Linked DNA regions of Rattus norvegicus. The protein of the gene in region 1 interacts with the protein of each later gene in a pairwise test. Links are inferred from orthologs where the notes say so. Each region holds a gene or a part of one and is shown on either strand. Other genes may lie near its edges. The genes, in order: Mid1 and Ubtd1.

Region 1 (3,820 bases):
CAAAGAAGAAACTCATAGCTCAGAATGCAATAAATAAGTTTTGGAGGTAAACTCATAGACAATTATGCAACAGAAAATGGCTACAGAAGAAATTGGGCAACTGAGTTTTGGCCTCTGCCTGGAGAAGACCATAAATGTAAGGAGGGACAAAAGAGTCTGGGTGACATTCAAGCAGCACAGATATCCATGGATTCAAAGATTAAAGTTAGATTGGTATTTTAAATGCTAGTCCTGACCATACTAGTGATTCATCACCTGGAGATTTAAAATCATTCATTGCTCGTTAAAATGCAAATTAGTGTTGCTCTGCCAATTATAGCTCATTAACTAGAATATTGGAGGATGTGCCCAGACATCTAAAGTTTTCCTTTGAAAGCTCCCCAGCTGATTCTTTTGCATACAGTGTATGAGAATCTCTGATGCCACTGTAAACTGGCCTATAATTAAAAGTATGTCCTATATGGAAGTTCTCTTTAGAACACTGGTAGTTTCACAGGACACTCTCAATTTCCTTTATATCGATATATGCAGTTTGGGGTTTTGTTTTCTTGTTCTTATATATCATCTTTAACTTCCAATATCCTCATAGAGAAAACAGAAAAATATGAAGTTGAAGAGTAGTCATTGTTACATTTGTCCTATGTGTGGTCTCTACTTTATATATTCAAAGGATAAGAGATGGCATGAAATGACTCCAAAAGAAATTTTGACCTCATTTTCTTTTGTGAGAATTATACCAAATGCCTTCAACTTGGCCATGCAATTTAAATTATTCTTTAGTTATATGATTAAATATTCTATACATTTGGTTTATTGTAGACACTGTTAATTTATTTTCCCTTCTGGAATTTTCCCTTCCTCTGGCAGTTTCTAATAGCTGTGTTCTAACATCCTGAATTAGACTGCAGGTCTGTCTTGACCTTGACTATCTATATAATGTTGCCAGAAGCTCTGTTCTATTTGGTGTAAAATGGCATTATTTTTTGTCCATATCCTGATATGGACAAGAACTATCATTATAATGAACGATGTATTTTTACCATGCTTGAGATCACATACTCTTAGCTGCCAAGTTTGGACATTTCATTCTGACTCATTATTTTCATAGATTCTTTCAACCTTGCCTAAAATCATGGGCTCAGCACCTCACAATTCAGCTGTAGTTTCCTTTGTTTGCCATAGTACACATGTGGAATTGGACATTCCCTGGAATTCTACAGATCTGACATCTCCTTCCTTCCTTCCTTTGCTTCAAGATTAGAGTTGTCCTGGGATGATAGTGATGACTTGGAGAAAGCAAAAATTCCTTTAAGTTAGCAGGAATTCTGGAGGGAGTTTGAGCCTGCCTTGTCCGTAAGACAGATTAACCAGGCGTCCTCCCTACCCTTTCACCCAAGGCTATTTTCCATTCCGGAATTATCAGAAAACCAGCCAAAACCTGTCCCCTCTTGTGTAGGTGGGGCCAGTAGGCACGAGGTGATTCCAATTACTGGTCTAATTTTAACTTGGCTCCTGGCCGGAGGGCTTCAGCTTATAGCACATTTCAAACACCAGAGCCTCAGTCAAGTGGCTTACCGTGGACTTATCTTGGCCTGTGAGAGGTTATGGATAATTATGTTGGAGGGTTTTTTTTTCAAGCAACACAGAATTAAGACCTAGAATGGAGATTGCAAAACAACTATGTGTTTTATCCCAAATGGGAAATGCTTATCAAAACAGTTAACTTATCAAGTGAGCACAAAGTGACTGGAAATGACGTTTACAGTGAGAGGAAATGGCCCAGCTGTGCTTTTTTTGGCTTTCTCTCATCAGTTCAATAAGAAAAATATTAATCAATGGGAAAAATGTTCCCCTTCTATTAATTTAATACACAAGTTTTAGGCAGTATGGAAAATAGGAATATCTAATACTTTCATGTCACAACTTTATTACATGGATTACAAAGAATGTTTTATGAAACTTTTTTTAACTTAAGACTCAAATTTATACCTATAGAAATGCTTTATTTTCCTAAGGGCATACTGAAAACCTGAGATGGAGTAAGTTCCAGGGTTCCCTAAGGTCCTGAAGTAATTATGTAGGATAGTTGAGGGAAGAGGTTTAGTGACCCTTTGTCACTTGCCACTGAACAACACCTCCCCCCCATCAACAGAGAAGTAATTAGCAATGCAATGCTTCCTCATAAAACAAATTATTAATGTTTCTTCAAGGACAGAAAGTATAAGTTCTGTAATTGTGTCTTCCAGATTTCAATCTCTCTCTTCTTAAACATAAGAGACTGTGCAACTCTGAAGGGTCCATCCCTGAGCCATCTCTCAAGTGTAACCTACCATGCTTCTTTTCTTCTAGGTGATGAGGCTCCGCAAATTAGCTCAGCAGATTGCAAACTGTAAACAATGCATTGAAAGGTCTGCATCACTCATTTCCCAAGCAGAACACTCACTGAAGGAGAATGACCATGCCCGTTTTCTACAGACAGCAAAGAACATCACTGAGAGGTGGGTGCAGGGACAGTTGGGAAGTTTTCAGACTGCTGATTGCTTATGTCTGGGTTTGACTGGTTGGCCTTGCTCTCAAACTGACTCCTTTTCTGTTTGAGATTGATCACCAGAGAGAATAGAAGCTTTTGCTATTTTGCTCCAGTTAAGTGACAAAAGCAAAACAAAACAAAACAAAACAAAAAAAAAATCCTTTCCATAACAGCCTATAGTTCAGGGTCTTTTTATCAAAAGGTTCACCAGTTAGACTAAAATCAACCATTTTGTGTGTGGAGGAGTGCTGGGGGTGGGGTGGTGGTACAGAAACATCATTTGTTGTAATTCTCAAATTTGATCTTATCACGTCCTTATTATCAAAGAATGAAGGTGCAGTCAAAATACATAAAAGGGAAACATGTTTTCCACTGCATGGTTCACTTTTTTAAAGAAAACAACTGCTGCACGGTGTTGTTTCTGTTAGTCCTGTTTTTACTTGACTGAAAATGTTGACATCACCAGAAAAGGCCAAGACTGATTAATGTGGGAGAGAAAGGTCAAATGATCAAGCTCCCACTGCCTTAGTTTAGAATACCTTCTGTTTCTGGGGAGGAAAATTAGAAATGCTGTTACTGGTATAGTGACTTCAGCATTAAGATAGGTGAAGGTTAGTCTTCTCTTGGTCCACCGACATGCTTAGTATAGAAATTACTCATTTCCCTGGTCATAGACCCATATAATGAATCCAGCGGATCCCAAGAGAAGGCTGGCCTGTATACAGCCCTTTCTAGATCAATGACATCACAAAACATCACCAAACACTTTGACTTTTCATTTATTCTAGTTCCTTTTTATGCACACCTTTACAGAATTGTGTCATAAAAAGGCCCCAGAAAACTCATTCATCCTAGCCTTTATCCTAAAGCAGACACCACCGTACTGTTTCAGAAAGTAAATTATTTTCAGCTTTGCAGACTATAAGGGATTTATCACAGTTATTCACTGCTGCCTGGGTAGCTCCATGTTAGCCACAGGGAGCAAATAGGTGTGGCTGTTTGCCAATGAGTCCATTCACAAAACAAGCTGCAGGTGTTCCTTTACCAACCCATGGTCTTAGAGGGGAAACATGCCCACCATTGCACCACTTGAATATCTTCAAGGAAAGAGAAAGAAAACTAACATAGGTGCTTGCTTGCGTCAGATTCCATTTTTGCCATGCTCGAAGAGTATATAGTATTTTTATAACCCTGGCCTCTTACTGGTTAGCTGGCTTCACTGTATTCTTATAACTGAGGAAACTTTGTTTTGCAGTTAATTAACTATTTATCTCCCATGAAGGACAGGAA
Region 2 (3,677 bases), on another chromosome or scaffold:
AGGTTTAGTTTCACCTCCCCTGTGGCAGCTCACAGCCATCCATTACTCCAGTTCCTAGAGATTTAACACCCTCCTCTACTGCTTTCCTTAGCCACTAGGCGTGGACGTGGTGCACACATATAAAATAAGAGTAAATACATACAAGGGACAAGAGCATCCTTGCCTGGAGTGTGTACTTCATATTCCTAACTTGGTTTCCACACTCTCCCCTGCTATTCAGAAAGTGTCCTGGTGCCCTAAATACATAGGGCCTGGTGCAGTGAAGTCCCTGATAGGCCAGGCTGGAGAGAGGGTCGGTTATGGCTTAAGTGGCTTTGGAGATGCTGAGCATCTGCGTCTGTCTTGCCCCAGGTCGCAATGAGCCCTTGAAGAAGGAGCGGCTCAAGTGGAAGAGTGACTACCCCATGACTGATGGGCAGCTGCGGAGCAAGCGAGATGAGTTCTGGGACACAGCGCCTGCCTTCGAGGGTCGCAAGGAGATCTGGGATGCCCTCAAGGCTGCTGCCTATGCTGCTGAAGCCAACGACCATGAGCTGGCTCAGGCCATCCTGGATGGAGCCAGCATCACCCTGCCTCATGGTGAGCAGGCAGGGCCTGGGCTCTATTCTGACCTGGTCTGGGGGTGGGGGTTTCATTAGTACAGAGGTGGAAAGCCAGTCACATGTGAGAAGCTTCTGTTTAGTGGAGATGATGGAGTATGGGTATGTGTGGCTGTCTTGTTCATTTAAACAACTCTTTATGGCATGAACAAAAAAACACGACACAAAACTAAGCATAGTAACACCTGTCTGTGATTATGAGAGGTAGACACGGGAGTCTGAAGTTCAAGTTTAAGGCCAGCCTAGATTACATGAGACTGTCAGGTGGATAGAAGAAGAGTAGGAGGGATGACGGACAGGACCCTCCTTTTCCTAATGAGAAGACAGAAAGGCACCAATAAAACTAATAAAGAGCTAAAGGCTTGCTGGAGACACTCAGGGCCTCAGACAGCATTTGCGGCCCTGATCTGGAGCCTTCTGCTGCATTTCCGCGTTTCTGCCCCTAGCACACTCACTAGCTGTGAAGGGAAAGTAACAGCAGACCTTCAGTCACAGACCTGGGTCTTGACCGTGTTCCTTTCTCAGCTTGTGACCTTTCCTTGCCGTGTGTCCCAGAGCAGGGCAAGTCTTGGGGTGGAGCCTGAGCCCCTTGCAATCACAATGGATCAATCACGATGTGCACAATACCACCTGTCCAGTACCAGCCTCAGGAGGATGCTGGAGACTAAGTAACTGTCCCATCCGCACTATATTACACCAGTAGCAAACTGGGGCCTAACCCACACCTAGCACCTGTACTCAGCCAGAATGCGGAATAAACACGTGAAAGGTAGTGTCATGGCTGAGGGAGCTGGCACCTGATGACTAGGCAGTTAGCCCCAGAGTCCTGACTGTGGAGTAGGACTGGGGACTGTGTGCTATCTGTAGTGGGCAAGTTTACCTGCTCACACTGCTGTAACAGAGACCACAGGCGGGAGGGTTCCTTAAACATTAGAAATTTGTCTCACAATTCAAGAGACTGGAAAGTCCAAGATCAAAGGGTCAGCTGTTTAGTCCTGGTGGTGCTTCTTGCTGTTTTGCTGGTTTGCGTGGTAGGCACGCAGGACTGGGCAGGGTCTCTGGGGCTTTTCCTTGTAAGGAAGCTGGTTCTATCAGATTGGGCCCTTGTCATTTACTTGTGTAATCTTATTCCTTCCAAATATGCCTCAACATGGGAATTTTGGGGGGCAGGGTGGGACAGCATTCAGTGTGTGACATCGGGTCCCCAGACCACACTGATCTCCCTGCCTTTCCCACAGGAACTCTTTGTGAATGCTATGACGAGCTGGGCAATCGCTATCAACTGCCCATCTATTGCCTGTCACCGCCTGTGAACCTGCTGCTGGAGCACACAGAGGAGGAGAGCCTGGAGCCTCCTGAGCCCACCCCTAGTGTGCGCCGTGAATTCCCACTGAAAGTGCGCCTCTCCACAGGCAAGGACGTGAGGCTCAGTGCCAGCCTGCCTGACACAGTGGGGCAGCTCAAGAGGCAGCTGCACAGCCAGGAGGGCATTGAGCCATCCTGGCAGAGATGGTTCTTCTCTGGGAAGCTGCTCACAGACCGCACAAGGCTCCAGGAGACCAAGATTCAAAAAGACTTTGTCATCCAGGTCATCATTAACCAGCCCCCACCACCCCAGGACTGAAGGCATCTGACTCCTGGGGAAAGAGGCCATGGAGGTCCCCTGCAGGCTGTGGGGCCCAGGCCTGTTGCTGCCTTCCAGTGCTGCTGTCTTCAGGGTCGCCTCCCGCCACCCTGCCGTATGGCTCTCAGTGAGCTGGGAAGGGACTGGCCTTCCAGGGCACTGGATCAACCAGTGCTCAGCACCCAGGGAGCAGTGCTGCCTGCCACACACAGGCCTTGCCAACCTTGTCGGAGAAAAGGCACGTGGCACTCTCCGCCACAGGTTGGAACCATGGGGGCCGTCCTGCAGACCTGGAACCCAGATCTGTCATCTGGTGCCACCACTGTGCTCACTCCAGTTTTCTGCTCAGGGTCGGAAGCAATTGCTGTCTCCCCCTTTATCCCTCACCATAACTCTGCCCTGGGCACAGTACCAGTCCCCTGGATGGGGAGGGAGCCCAGTGTGCCCCAGGGCTTGAGGAGCTTGAGGTGGGCCTCTCTGTCTCTTCCTGCACCCAGCACAATCTGCAGAGATGAGGCAGGTGGCCAGATAGGCTTTATGGCAGAGGTTTGCACAGGGCTATCTCCAACTGTAACCCAGGCAGGGTGGGTCGGAAGCCTGGCCATGGCCCCAGCTGGGCCCTGTGTACACACACATCTGCATTTTATCAATAAAGCCTTTGCTCCTCTTTTGCCTAGCACATGACTTCACATTTCACAGCATGGTGGAGCCCGGAGCTTCTGCTGGTTTGGCTACAGACAGGCACAGCAGAGCATCCAACCTGATGCTCCTCCTGTGGGCCCTGATCTCATCCAACCTCGATGTGTTCCTGCGGGTTCTGGAAAGCCACTTCTCCTCCAAATGCACTTTGCTCTTTATAGAGACGGCCTCTGCTGCTGCCTCCTGCAGCAGTTGCTGGGAGAGTTAAGTGTGTGGGGCACTGGGGTGGGGGTGGGGGGCAGATATGAAAGAGTGAAGGAGCATCCACAGAAGGCAGCATAAGCTCTGTGGCAGCCACCCCACACAGCCCTTGTGGGATCCTGGAGATGCAGTGTCCATGCTGTGTCAGAGCATGGGATGACAAGAGGCAGAGGCAGACGGGGCTGATCCCTCGTGTTTCTTCTGCGGAACTGTGCACCTCACCAGAGGGGTCTCTGCAGGCGCGTCGCTTGCAGGTGAAGCGCACAGCATTTGTAGGCCACTGGCAGGTTAAACCTAGGTCACGACAACCCAGGGCTCCAGGCTTGCAAGTCCCGGGTGAAGAGCTCAAGTACAGGTCTGCCTTTGCTCTGTGTATTCTGTGGTCATCTCTGCCCAAGGCAGTCTGGCATTGCCTAGCTCTGAACTCTGACTTCCTAGACTCTTAAAACACTAAGTTCTGCTGAGAACCCTAGGAAGATGAAACAAACAGATAGGGTCCTTCAGGCTAACGGACATACCAGACAGTGTAGCCATGTTTCCCTAGGGTGTGCTGT

What was found.
Region 2: the proteins of Mid1 (region 1) and Ubtd1 interact in binary tests that used the Homo sapiens proteins (3 or more experiments, as listed by UniProt). The two-hybrid records come from large-scale screens. The link is inferred for Rattus norvegicus from reciprocal best matches to the Homo sapiens genes MID1 and UBTD1.

What each region holds. Positions count from the first base shown.
Region 1 is NC_086039.1:27,715,627-27,719,446, reverse strand, and holds part of Mid1 (E3 ubiquitin-protein ligase Midline-1), read left to right. Parts: intron 1-2,349; coding exon 2,350-2,498; intron 2,499-3,820. UniProt on the Homo sapiens protein: Has E3 ubiquitin ligase activity towards IGBP1, promoting its monoubiquitination, which results in deprotection of the catalytic subunit of protein phosphatase PP2A, and its subsequent degradation by polyubiquitination.
Region 2 is NC_086019.1:250,792,205-250,795,881, forward strand, and holds the end of Ubtd1 (ubiquitin domain-containing protein 1), read left to right. Parts: intron 1-351; coding exon 352-579; intron 580-1,837; coding exon 1,838-2,223; 3' UTR 2,224-2,892; downstream 2,893-3,677. UniProt on the Homo sapiens protein: May be involved in the regulation of cellular senescence through a positive feedback loop with TP53. Is a TP53 downstream target gene that increases the stability of TP53 protein by promoting the ubiquitination and degradation of MDM2.